Linked DNA regions of Drosophila melanogaster. The gene in region 2 interacts genetically with the main gene of each other region. Each region holds a gene or a part of one and is shown on either strand. Other genes may lie near its edges.

Region 1 (5,952 bases), on a different chromosome or scaffold from region 2:
AACGCTTCTGAATCCTTCCGTGGAGCAGCAACCCGAACGCAACTGGACGCAGCAGGTCGTGGAGATCAGCCAGGTGCCCAGCAGTCAGCATGTGCTGGAGGTGCATGTGGGTGGCGGATACTACGAGGAGATCGAGAAGCTGCCCGATGAGGAGCTGCTGGAGCAGATAACTGGTCTGCTAAGGCGCTGCGTGAGCAGTCACCTGGTGCCGTACCCACAGGAACTGCTGCGTTCCAACTGGAGTACGTCGGCCTGCTACCTCGGCGGTCGTCCTTACTTCTCCACCAACAGCAGTGCCCGGGATGTCCAGCGACTGGCCGCTCCGCTGGGCGAGAAGTCGCCCGGTCTGCTCTTTGCTGGGGATGCAACCTCGTTGAGAGGCTTTGGAACCATTGATGCCGCCAGGTCCAGTGGCATCCGAGAAGCCCAACGCATTATTGACTACTATCTGAAAAGCGTGCACTGCGGTTAAGTGCAATGGGAAATCCGAATGGGCTGCTAAATTGTACAGTGTATATCAACACGAAAACTAGTCAAAATTTATAGTTACAATTCGTTTGTATTTTTAAGCAGAATACATTTGTTTTAATTAGGCGCATAACGTTAACAATAAAAATCATGAACAACATCAATGATACAATGATAGGATACTATAAATATAATGTAGCGATGGACGAACCATCTTTTGTTGCGATGTAAATTCCCTAAACATGTCGCAAGTGGAAAGTGTATGGTCTGTTCCGGGTTCCAAGTCACAATGCATTATATATCATACTGGTCCAATTTAAGTTTACTATATTAATTTATATACTAAACACGGAACAGACCTGCACAACCACTTTACTGCTCCTGTTCCATCTCGTCGGCAGCGGCGCTGACCTCCTTCCACGAGTACTCCATGTCCTCGGACTGGGTGAATCGCGAGCAAATGGCCATGCGCAGGAAGTAGACATCCTTGATCTTGGCGGGAACCAAGTGGATGTGGCCGCGTCCATTGATTCGCTTGAGAAGAGCTTCGTTCCGCTCGTTGCTGCCCTTCAGCCGGAAGCAGACCAATCCCATATTGATCTCGGCGGCCAGTTCAAATCTGGAGTCCGCCACGCAGAGATCCCCGAACTGCTTGGCAAAGTTGCAGTGTCTGCGGATGTGGGCCTGGAGATTCTCGACACCGTACAGCCGGAGGACGAACCAGAGCTTCAGTGCCCTGAATCGCCGTCCAAGTGGGATTTGCCAGTGACGATAGTCCGGAGCTGATCCCTGCATGTCGTGCTTCAGGTAAAGAGGGTCCACATTGAACGCGTTGACCACCCAACTGGGATCCTTCAGCCACATGGCCGAGCAGTCAAAGTTCACCAGCATCCATTTGTGTGGATTGAAATTGAAAGAGTCTGCTGATTCGATGCCCTTCATCAGGTGGCGATACTCGGGGCAAATGAAAGCGGATCCGGCATAGGCAGCGTCCACATGGATCCACAAATTGTGCTTGTTTCCCACCGGTCCACACTCATCCAAGTAGTCGAAGGCGCAGGAGTTGGTGGTGCCCAGGGTGACCACCGCGTAGAAGGGAATCAAACCCTCGGCCACATCCTGTTCGATGGCCTTTTCCAGGGCAGCACCACGCATTCTGTGATTCTCGGACTGCACGGAACGGAGCTTTACTCCGCCCAGAAGACCAGCCCGCTCCACGGATGAGTGAGCCTGGTCCGAGCAGTAGCCCACCAACTTGCCCAAGATGGTGTGCTCATCCCACTCCGGATGGAGCTCCTTCACCTCCTTCAACTTCTTGGCCTTGGCTCCCAGCAGAGCCACCAGTGTGGACTCACTGGCCGTGCCCTGGATGACACCGCCACCCTTGCCGCCCGAACAGGCCAGGAACTCTGCCGGCAGCTCCAGCATCTTGCCCAGCCAATCCATCATGACCACCTCGAGTTCCGTGCACGCGGGACTGGCGATCCACGTGAATCCGATGCAGGCAATCGCTCCACTCAGCATGTCCGCAACGATCGCTGGATACGAGTTGGCCGTGGGGAAGTAGGCATGAAACTTGGGACTGTGCCAGTGTGTCACGCCCGGCATGATGACTCGCTCGATGTCCTGCATCACATCCTGCCACTTCTCCGGCTTCTCGGGCGCAGCATCCGGAATCAATGGCTTCAGGTAGCCAGGCTTCACTTCCGGCAGAACGCGCCTGTAATTGCGAAAATTGCGTTAGCTTCTGATTGCATTTTGGCGCCCATTCAGTAAAAGCTCCTTGCTAATTGGCTGCGAAACTCAGTTAGCCAACAAAGGCATCAGGAATCATTGGGGTTGAAGGACACCCATCCAACCACCCCCAACTTGTTGCCACTGCCATGAAAATCAATACGAATATGTAGCAAATTGCTATGGGAACAGAATATAGATAGAGAGGCAATGCTGATAATGATGGTGGGATTTTCTATCCTTTCAATTAAAAGGAAGTACTACTAAGAGGTGAAAAAAGAAAATAAAAAGATAATTTCTCTATATATATGTATCTTCAATTAACAAAGATTCGTTTAAAAAGTTATCTAACTAAGAAAATAGTTTTGAAACTTCAATGTCGAAGGAACTTTAATAAAGCAAAATGAATTATTATATTACGCTCTACTTAAGCTTGATTTTCAATTAACCATTAATTTCAGCGACTGTCGATGGGCAAACAAACTCAGCAGCTGTAGTAAGAAAATTGTTTACTTAGCTGACTTTGATTTTCAAGGTAATGGAAACGAAGCCGTTAGAAGAATTGCCCAAGAATAGTGAAATACCCGAATTGCTTTTGGCCAAGGCGTTAGCAGTGCAATTATATCTATACTCGTATACATGAAAAACGACCTTGACACGCCAACTCAACAAAGCCATTTAATTAATTAGTTTTCGGCCCAAGAGCAGCGAAAGTACTTGGCCCTCGAGCTAATGGGAAGGTCGCCTCAACCCCCTAAACAAAATGATATATATATATAGATATATATAGCAATGGAAATGTCCGATCGGTGCGACTTTCCCGTGACTAATCTCAAAACGTGTGCGAAATGTCATTCACTTGCCCGGGGATTCGAATCGAGCAGAACGAACTTTCGATTCGAACGTAAAATGCTGAGGTCAAGCGACTGATTCTGATACCATATAAATGAAATTCATACGCTAAATTAAGTTTAATTCAAGCTAATTGAGTAGGGAGTCTTAATCTGGCTCACCTTTCGCGTATATTCTCCAGATATTCGGCTATAAAGTCGACCATTGTCTTGGCAAAATCCTTGAACTCCGGCGCCTCCATGTCGATCTTGATGTGGATGCAAAAGTATTTGGTTATCAGACGTGCATAATTGTTGGCTCTATACCTAAACCCAATAGACATACCGAAACCTTGGGATCCAGCTTATCCGGCGAAATGTTAGCTTTACCATTACCATCAGTTTGTTTTGTTGGAATTGTGTTACTAATGGGTATGTGGCTCATTTCAGAGATTTACTTTTCGTTTGACTTTTGCAATGATATGAACTCGAATGGTTAGAGCTAATATGAAAGAATGTGCGATTATTGAAAGTGTTATTAATAGAAGTGCGTTTTTGAAGATAGTGCTAATCAGTGCAGCAGCTCAAACAAAAAATGCTATCGCTGCAAACACGACAAATGAACGACATTGAATACTAATTACTTGATAGGCAAAACGATGATGATAATAGTTATAATAATAAGGTATTAAGGTATTAATAGTTTAAAGCGTTTTCCCATCGAGTGCGCTGCTTAAGTATAGGCTGTGAATTAGTATGGTAATTAGAATGTTTAATGCATTCTTGCATTAATCAAGACTGCTTTATTTTTTTTTTTTTTCTAAATTCCAATTTTAACAACGTAAACAAGTTGGCATTGAGACGACGACTTGTTGCCAGCTAAAATCTTATTTTAATAGATACACAAAAGCATGCAGATACCGAAAGCCGAGAAAAGCTTAAGCACTATAGAATTCGGGGCCCGAACTATCAAATTGAACCGAAGCAAGGCTATAGTATATGCCCAGTTTTAGATACACATTACGTATACGCAGCGTTAGCCCCGAAATGAATCTTTCGCATGCACATGCACTCATTATGTTGGCCAAGCACTTCAGGCAGCTGAGGCTGTTGAGGAGCCACACTTTCGTCTCTCACCGTTGCACTTTAGTTAACTGCTTTTAATTGTTTGCACTTGTTGCCGAGCTTTACTTCCGTTCCGAACTAAATCTTTGCTCCAAGTTCAGTTTGCCCTCCTGGTTTAGAACAGCTAATATTTATTTGCTGATATTTCGATGCTGATATTTCGGTGCTGATTGCTGTGCGCTTGGCGTTCTCCTCTTAACTGAGCGCTGCCCGCTCTTGGCCATGGCTTTTAAAGCCCGTCCAGCAGCGCTGCCAATTCCGCAGGACCGGTTCAATCGCAGTCCGCAGCCGCTGAACTTCGAATCGCAGCCGCTGTCGTAAAAACAAATTCAGCTCTCGTTTGATTTGTGCACGTTTTTTGACACTTTTTTGGAACATGCATTAATTGGGCGCTGAATCAGTAACTGGATATCAAAGGCTTTATTTTCCATGGATTTATTTAGAATTTAAAAAAATATATATATATACATACATGCAAGCTATTACATTTTATTTGCCAGCTCTGTGAACTTAATTTGATTATTTTTGAAATTAGTTTGAGAACCTAGTGATATTTAAAACAGCAAGCAAAACATTTTGAATTCTACTCACGTGCTTCCCAACTCGAATTTGTGGAAAGAGAGCGATCTCGTCAGGAATCCCCCAATTATGAGTCACTCGAAACAGGGTTTTTCTTGGACTCCCCGAAGAAAAAATCACGCAAAAAAATGTAAACAAAGTTATATTCGTAGGAAAGACAAGAAATTGATTAAGCCGTGGAATGGCACGCTTTACGCGCATCTTGGAAACCGGTTATTAGAGCACCACATATGACGTGCTTTTTGAACCGCTCATGGAATTGTGACGTCAAATAATCCAATGCTCTCACTCACTTTCGCATTGTGCTAGGGGAAGTGGGCTAGGTTGAGCCTTTTGAGCGGGCAGTTCCGCATACACTGAGAAAAATTCAAAATTACTATAGAAAGCTAACGACTTTTGGATGCCAGTTACTTGGCCGGAATTTCAAAATTCAGTTGAAATATCAATAGAAATTGGCAAGAAACAATAAATATGTGGCTTAAATGTTTATGCCAAATATATCGAGAGATATAATACAAAAATTCAAAATATTTTTCAAAACTGTTTTCGTGACCGTTTTTTTTTTTTAAAGTTCCCAAAATCTCGAAGTTTATACGGACAGACAAACATGGGTATATCGGCTCGGCTAATGATATTGGAATACGACAGGAAAATCATTATCTTCCTTTAATTACTATTTAAAAGAATCAAGTAAACACTTTTAGCCTACGACAAAAGAAAATAATTTCTTTCAGTGTAGGGCTGCTGAGAATCCTGCGGGTGGTCCAACTGTTGCTGAGTGCGAGCAAAGTGCGTGTGCCTGACATTTCAACGAAGCCACTTTGGCAAATCACTTGGCTGAATCAACAGATTTATACGCCATGCCAACGGCTCTGCTTTCGATTTTAATGCGCTGGGTGCTCCACCCACACGCCAGCCAACAGCCACCAGCCACCAGTCGCCCAACTACCCACCCACATTATGCTGCTTTACGGGTGGCTGGAGTTCGGGTCGATTGAGGCGAAGAATACTACAATTTGATTTATGACCATCTTGAGTTGCGAATGAATGCGAAAGTATTCTCCGCTTATAGGGGTCGAATGGCGCCTTTGAGAGGGGGATTGCATAAACAGGCATCATATGGGGTAAACAAGGGCCGAGATAAGCGAGCGGGTGTTTGGTGTACACATCACATCGCTGAGCTTCAATAGGTCACGTATTTTGTCTAAATCTATAT
Region 2 (7,817 bases):
TTCAGAACCAACGAAGCCTGGCTTGGGGACCAACTGCGCTTTAAGTTGATTATATATATAGATTTATGTGCGAATATAATTAGTAATTAGTTTGGCTAATTGCTTGCAGAAATGTTAACACTTGGTTGGCTTTCGATCCAATTGCAACTACAATACATCGAACAATAACAATAAAATTCCATGCTACGTTAACTATAAATATGTAATATTCTTGATCCCAATGTTTTACTTTGTTTACTTTGAAATATTTTGATTTTAATTACTTTATAATAATACATATGTATTGGTCCAAGGTTTTTCGTTATTTTATATAATTTCATCAAATTTGTGAAATATTTTCTACATAGCTCGATTTTAGTTCACATGAGATTCACTTCTTCTCACCCATAAATATATTTATCATATTCCTCGATTCTACTCATTAATTTTAAATAAATATTCCATTTTGATGTCATAAAATGTTCCCTAAACAGATTCAGACTTTAGAGTTTCGAATTGCCAAAGAAGATAATCAAATGAAAAAACCAAAGAGTAATTATTTTTCAATTGCATTTTTAATTTTATTAATACACAAAACTTAAATAAAATAATAATGTTTAAACTCTACATACCTACAATACAATACGTAATAGTCATAAGTATAATAATAGATAATAATAATAATAGTACACAATAGTAATATTGTCGTTTACAGTTATTGTACAATGTAAGAAAATTCTGTTTTGTTTTCCATTTCATTTTTTATCTTTTCCGTTTTTTTTTTTGTTTGTTTTCCATTTGTTCCTTGCTCGATTGTTGTATCTATATCATTTTTGTTTAGAAATACTCTCTCTAAATGAAGCTTCCTATACCGGGAATACTATATCGCGTGTCTATATAGTCTAGGTAAATATTGTGAGAGGCAAAATGAAGATAATAATAATACAAAAACAATTTTTGTCTGAGTATACAATCGGTTTTTGTGTGGTACTTTGCCTACTAAGTGCGGATGTATCTGAACTTTGCTTTCCCAGCTTTTCACTTCACTTAATTCGCTTTGCTTTGCTTGGCTTGGCTTGGCTTTGTTTTCACATCACTTAAACGTCTAAAGATTTTTTGGTCCAATAATAGTTGCGGTGATAAATATGCAGGTTGGGTGGTGTATCGGGTGATCAACAAATAAATATGCTTGATTTTTGTGTTTTTTACCATGTGCGCGATTCGACAATTACAACTTTTCGATGACAATTAAATAAAAATTAAACAAAAAACAATAAACAAAAAATAAAAAATAATGCGCGATGCCTTAATTTTGGTTTAAGGATTACGTGTACGAGGGATTGTGCGGTATGTCAATTTAAAATTAATTTGTATAAATGAGACCGTTGCACCTGTATGTGTATGTTTGGGTGGTGGGGGTGGCTGGTGTTTTTTTGGGCGATGTTTTTGGGTGCTTCTATATATCATACATATATCTCCCCCCCATCCACTTAGAACGGGCGTCGCAACTTGGAGATGGCGTTGGTCAGATGCAAAATCTCCGTGTTCATCTGGTGCACCAGAGTCTCCAGCTTGTCGACGGAGTCCAGCACCTCGACGCGCTCGGTGTGCGGGTTGAAACGCACCTCGAATGGACGCGACATGGTGCTCACCCAGCGACGGAACTTGTCCTTGGCATCCTCGAAGCTCTCGGCCACATAGTAGATGGGCTGGTACTCCTGATCCTGGTAGGGCTGCACGGCGGTGGATGCGGGCTCGAAGGCGCGGTGCTCGCACTTGTCGCTGATGGCATGGAGCAGCTCACCGTAGGAGCTCAGGAGTCCAGCACCGTAGGCCTTGATCTGACCATGTTCCTTGCAGAGACCGAACTCAACAGTGAACCAGTATACCTGTAGAAATGAAATGGTAAGGAACCAATGAGTAAATAGGAAGGAAAATAAAAGCAAAGGCAGATAATGCAGGAAGTTGTATGACTTATAAGATCAAGGTTTTCTGAACTTAAAAACTTATTTAAAATCACAATTAAGTGTTTTGAAATGCATTAAATTGTATCTGTAAACTATATGAATAAAAAGAAAAAAATTATTCTGGCATTGAAGTTCACTTTTCCTCTTCGACTTTGACAGTGACTAAACAATGATCTTGGTTGCGAAAAAAAACTAGCTGCGTCATAGCTGCACTTGAGTCTAAGGTCGTTACATTGCAACTCAATTAGAAAATCAACTCACCGTGGACAGCTTCTCGATTTCTTCGTCGGAGGCACCCAGCGAGGCCAGTCCAATCTCCTGCGAGAACTGGGCGAAGCTGGGATCGGCCAGCAGGGGCATGTGACCCAGCAGCTCGTGAATGGAGTCGCTGTAATGGCATAGAATAATGCTTGTTAAAAGTGTGGAAAATGTGCTGGCATAAGGCAATTAGTCTGGTTAAATGAGCTGGGCAGCCTGCCGCAGTTCCTGTAGCCAATTTGCCTGTGTTCCAGGCGACAAAAGTTGCTTGGGAAAAGCGGAAAAGGAAACCCAACCACCCACACACACACAGAGGCAGGCGGCAGGCAGGCAGGCAAATGCAATTAGGCTAGGACAAAGAGCCTTTTTCTCCCCTTTTTGAAGTGATTTTAACCCCCTAGTAAAATATGATGATAGATACTTACGGCTCGGGGGTGTGGTATGGTGAGTTAACGTGGCGCACATACTGGGTGCTCTGGAAGATGCGGAAGGCCAAGGAGGCAAGGAAGTCCCGGGCAGTCAAAAGACCGGCGGCAGGACGGAGAGAGAATCCGGTGTTCTTGCGCAGAAAGTCGGACATCTCCTGCAACTGGGGCAGACGGGTCTCCACGAAGATCTGCTCATCCTGGAGCTTCTGGAAGGCGGCCCGGTACTCGGCACAGGCGTGCTTGGGAGCCAGATCCTGAACGGTCTTGAACACCGAGCGCCAGGTCTTGACCTCCACATCGGAGTAGTCGATGAATGGGATCGGGTCTCCGTACTTGTAGGCGAATGCGATCTCGGCAATTTCCTTGCGACGCTGGCGGTATACCTTGTCGGCGAATCCGGGGTGGTTCATGTCCAAATCGGGCTCGTACTTGGTCATCAGATGGTTGCAGTTATCCAATTCGGAGGCGTGCTTGGGGAACCACGGAGCCTTGACATTCAAGTTATTGTCGGCCATCAGATTCATGCTGCTGAAGGAGCCCGACTGCCTGAGGGAGCGGATCAGCTGCAGCAGATTGCCACGGGTCATGTCCAACTTGATGAGGACATCGTGGTCCACGCCCTCCACGCGCGACTGACGGGACTCCACATGCTGGACGGTGCCGTGGAAGGTTTCGATGGCCTTGAGGATGCGACCCAAGGAGGAGATGCCCTCCTTGAGGCGGACCACCAAAGCGGCACTCTGCATGGCAGCCTCGGCATCCGAGGATTCGGAGGCGGCATTGGCCAACAAAATCTCGTCCTCGGTGAGACCGTAATCTGCAAAAGGGCCAAAAAAAAGCGGGGATAATGTGATGGTTAAGGATGCAATCTTCCAAGGCTTAGGGTCACGTAAACGATAAGCGAGCTACGTGGCAGTGGCAGTGAGACGGTTGCCAGGCAAACGCATTTCGTACTTGTATTAAGTCGAGCGTAACAAATGAAAAAGGGAAATGCGACATTTCCACAGAGAGAGAGAGAGAGAGAGAGAGAGCGAGCGAGCGCGCCCACTCACAATTGTCCGTGTGGCTGAGTGCTTTTCCTCTGCCCTGGCACTTTATCATATTAAGCACTTAAATCAATGTCGCACGCTTTTCAAAAGCCCCTCTCAGAAGTTAAGTACTACTTATGGTTGGCTGCTGGATTCTAGAACCCCCTGCTCACCGTTCTTGGTCGGCTGTTGGTTGCCTTCTGGCTCCTGCGACTGCGACTCCGACTGCTCCTGTTCAACGCTCTCAAACTCAACATCCTCCTCAACTAAAAGCGAATGAAATAAAAATAATAATAAAGCCCATGAAAATCATAATCAAAATCAAATCAAAGATAATAGGCTCAGAAAGAGGAGTAACTGGCATGGGAATTGAAATGGAAATGGATATTAACCTGGAACATATTCCTCCAAGGGCAGGTTCTCCAGATTGGCATGCTCGTCCTGGAGCTCCACATCTTGCTCGGAGGGAATGTGCTCCTGAGCCTGCACAATGCAATCTTCCAGGGAATCGTCTTTAAAATCATAAAAATAAAAACGAAGGCAAATAATAAATAAAGGGTTAAAATGAATAAGAAAAAAACGCAAATCTATGTCAAAACGAATAAAATGAAATAAAAATTGCAACTTTTTAAGTTTTTAATCAACAAGTAAAGCCCTAGCTGCAAAATTTCCCTTTTGATCCCAAATAGAAACCCTCTTTGGAGCTATTTTAGTGACCCACTTGTTGGACCCTATCCACTTACCATTTGCCTTGCTGCGGGCCTCCTCGAGGACGGTTTGTTTGGTCTGCTTGACCACCAGGGTCTCGAAACGGGCATCATCCACCAGGCTGCGACGGCGGGATGGATAGCCATTCTGGAAACGAAAGCGAAAAGATTGAAGTCCGTGTTAGTGACACTGGCAGGATGTGGAGCGGAAATTAGACGATTGCCTTGACCTTCAAGCCAGGGTGGCTTTCTTCGGCTCCACGCTTGGGTGGTGACTTTGAGCAGAGTATTGCGCAATTTTGAAAATATTATATAAAATGGTGTGTGAAAGCGCCGTCTTCAGATCTTTTTCTTTGAATAAAGCTGGCTATTCATGGAACTGTATTGATTGTGATTCAAAGCCACGAATGGTAATTTAATGCGATGTCGCCGCTTCGAAGCGGGCAGGTGCGAAGATAAATGATATGTGACTGAGAAATCGAAAATCCCCATGCGATTCTGGCGGGAAAAAAATGCAACTGGCGATCGTTAAAGGTTTTTTTTCTTTCTTTTTCTTGATGGGGGGAAAAAGGTTTCCATCACTTGCAGTTTTCACTGTCAGCTCGTTTTTTTTTTTTTTTGTTTGTTTGTTTTCTTCAGTTTTTTTTTTTGGGCCACCGCTTTGGCTGATGAAAGATGACCAACTCATTGAATCATTTATATTGATTTCATATTTTTTGTTTTGCTCGGACGCAGCATAAACATAAACAGAGACGAGTCAACAACAATGAGGCGCGACTGTTTCGGCCAGGCTAAGTGCATGGGGCCCAAAGGCAGCCACTTTCACTTATTTGTTAAATAATAACTTAACACACAACCCGTTGTGTCCGTTGGCGATTTGGGCCTTTCGATTTGGGCCGCCTGTTCTTAGAGGTGTGACTTAATGGCCAACCGAGGATTGAGTTTGGTCAAATTGAATTGGCGAAAAAGAAATGCGGGATCACAAAAATGGGCTCGACTACTGGCCGGTTAACTGGTTTTTTTTTGAAAACACAAAACCTTTAGATAGTCACGTAGACCAAATCTAGTCACTCATTTGCTTCTTTTTTTTTACAATTCGATTTGGAAATTGTATGTTTTGCTGGATTTTCGACTCACCTCAATACTGTAGGATTTCTTGATGGCGAACATCTCGCGGTTCTTTTGGGCTGCTGCAACGGCCATCATTTTTTTTTGTGTGTTTGGGTTGTTTTCGTTTGGGGTGAACAACAAAAATTTACGCAAAGTGTTGGCAAAAACACTTAGAATACTATTTGCTTATGTGCTTGGTTACGCTTTTCTTGTTTGATTTGCAATAAGCACTCGAAATGTGTTGACACTTTCACTGCTTATTGGCGATCTGGCTGGGTGGTTTTGTTTTTCAAGAAAATCGCTCCTGGTACTGAACTGTTTGCGTCTAGAATTGAGCTGGACAAGAACTCTCGACTCTCGAATTCACGGCGGGATATATAGATGGTTGATCGGTTGAACTTTAGCTGGATCCTTTCGCGAACTCGAAACTGATGTGGTGATGTGTATTATCCTTGTCAGCTAAATTGTATTACAACAAACAGAGTCAGCAAACTACTTGAGGCTGGGCACAAGTCTTTAGGGCGAATGATAGCGAATCAATGCATGCTTCATGTCGAGTTGCCGCCGCTTAAATACCCCCAGATTCCGATTCCGACGGCCAAGTTAACGAACGTTTCGGCCGATTGCCGACGATTGTTTGCTTCACCAAACGACGATGACTGGTTTTCGCATGACGCGACTGTGACGTAGTTGCCCAGCTGTAGCTGGGTTAAAGCCAAGATGCCGATGCCGTGGGGTTTCCTCTCACCAGCCAGCTAACCAGCTAGCCAGCCAGCTGAGTGGGTCGAGAATCGCGGGGCCTGACTCGACTCAACTTGGTCGACCAAGTTCAAGTGCGGCAACAGGCTAGAACGTCGCATTGGCCATGTTTTTGTTGCTCTTGTAGCTTGGCTAAAAAGCGGGGTTAACCATTAGCGCGTGCGCGTCAATCGGAATGGTGGTAGAATACCCCAAAAGTATTCAGTCAGTCGAACGGGAGTCATTTGAAAAGCCTCAACAGGTCATACAGAAAAAACCAAAACAAATCCAAACAAAGCGAAGCTAGTCCATGCCAAATGTTAAGCATACGCCGTGTGTGCACAGAGCAAAATAATGAAAATATATGACATTCTTACTCTGTAAGTTGTTTTAGGGAAATGTTTTTAACCACTAGAATTATTTTAAAGAAGTAGGTTAAAATTATTAAGAATGTTTTAGACAATAAAAGCACCTTACGTTTATGATACGTTCCATTTTTCTAGGTGTAACAACAGTCGAAGATCTCGTTCAGTTTTAGAACCCAGCAATTCGCATTAGATCCTGAATGACTCAATCGAATCGCGTCAGAACTAGAGCGGATGCTGAAGCGGATCGTATAGGGACCAAGTGAAAGTGAGCTGGAAAACAAAGTAATGGTAAACAGGAAGTACGGATCACATGGCTGCGTGCGTGCCCGAGATGTAAGTAGGTGGCACCCAGCCATATCGATTAAATTTTAAAAGCACATTTAACAACTAATTTGCATGCGTAAATGTAGCACATTAAACTAAGCCCGGGCGATAAGTACAGGCACATTACAATATCTATGGCATAATTGAAAGCCCCGTCAAAACATCTGGCGATTGGGATTTGCATATGGCAGCTGACGGATTACGAGACCGACCATATAGCAATCTATATAAATAATTATATATATATTCCTGTCCTGTAAGCTGATAACGTTGGCAAGGCTGCCGCCGCTTCTCAAATTGGACTCGGGCCGCCAATTCGAATGACATTTTCAGTGGCAGTGGCAGTGGCAGCATTATTTTCAATCGTGTTAGCTTTTAACCAAATTCAGTTAGCGGCGATGTCGAGATCGAAGCAAATTTGCCATTGATCTACATATGTGCACTTGTACTTGCCAACAATCCGGTCATCCTTGCAGCCTGCATCTAGCAACTAACTAACTAACTAATGCCGATGTTAATGCGGACCGTTCAAATTAGTAGATCGAATCGTTTGATTGAGCTAACGAGCCCGATAATGAGCTAACACATCACATATACGTCTATTTGCTTCGATCCGCATTAAGTTATTAAGGCATCTGGAGTAGCAAAAACATAATTATCGATCTGATAGATCCATTATACAAATTGGATCGATAGAGTGGGATTGGTGAGTTAATAAGTTTGTGGGAGCTAGGAAATACATTTGACAACATCGAAAAGCTTTTTACTTAGAATATCGAGGGTAATAATTAATAAATAGCACTTACTGGAAATAACTTAAATTATTTAAAAAATATAATACTATCCAACTAGCAGTAAACTGCGTACTATATTACCCATTAGTCACTGGCAAAAAAAGTTCCCACATTAG

Evidence for each region. Genes that interact genetically often act in the same process or in processes that back each other up.
Region 1: of ple (region 2) and Ddc, changing one enhances a phenotype caused by changing the other (phenotypic enhancement), as found in Drosophila melanogaster (one study listed by BioGRID).

What each region holds. Positions count from the first base shown.
Region 1 is NT_033779.5:19,115,941-19,121,892, forward strand, and holds Ddc (dopa decarboxylase), read right to left. Parts: upstream 4,367-5,952; 5' UTR 4,170-4,366; exon of another isoform or gene 3,535-4,169; 5' UTR 3,478-3,534; coding exon 3,379-3,477; exon of another isoform or gene 3,302-3,378; coding exon 3,216-3,301; intron 2,189-3,215; coding exon 841-2,188; 3' UTR 543-840; downstream 1-542. Other genes in the region: CG10561 (uncharacterized protein), read left to right, coding at 1-472.
Region 2 is NT_037436.4:6,713,501-6,721,317, forward strand, and holds the start of ple (pale), read right to left. Parts: upstream 6,026-7,817; 5' UTR 5,574-6,025; coding exon 5,505-5,573; intron 4,516-5,504; coding exon 4,404-4,515; intron 4,173-4,403; coding exon 4,053-4,172; intron 3,927-4,052; coding exon 3,834-3,926; intron 3,450-3,833; coding exon 2,630-3,449; intron 2,335-2,629; coding exon 2,208-2,334; intron 1,869-2,207; coding exon 1,470-1,868; 3' UTR 1-1,469. UniProt on the Drosophila melanogaster protein: Plays an important role in the physiology of adrenergic neurons.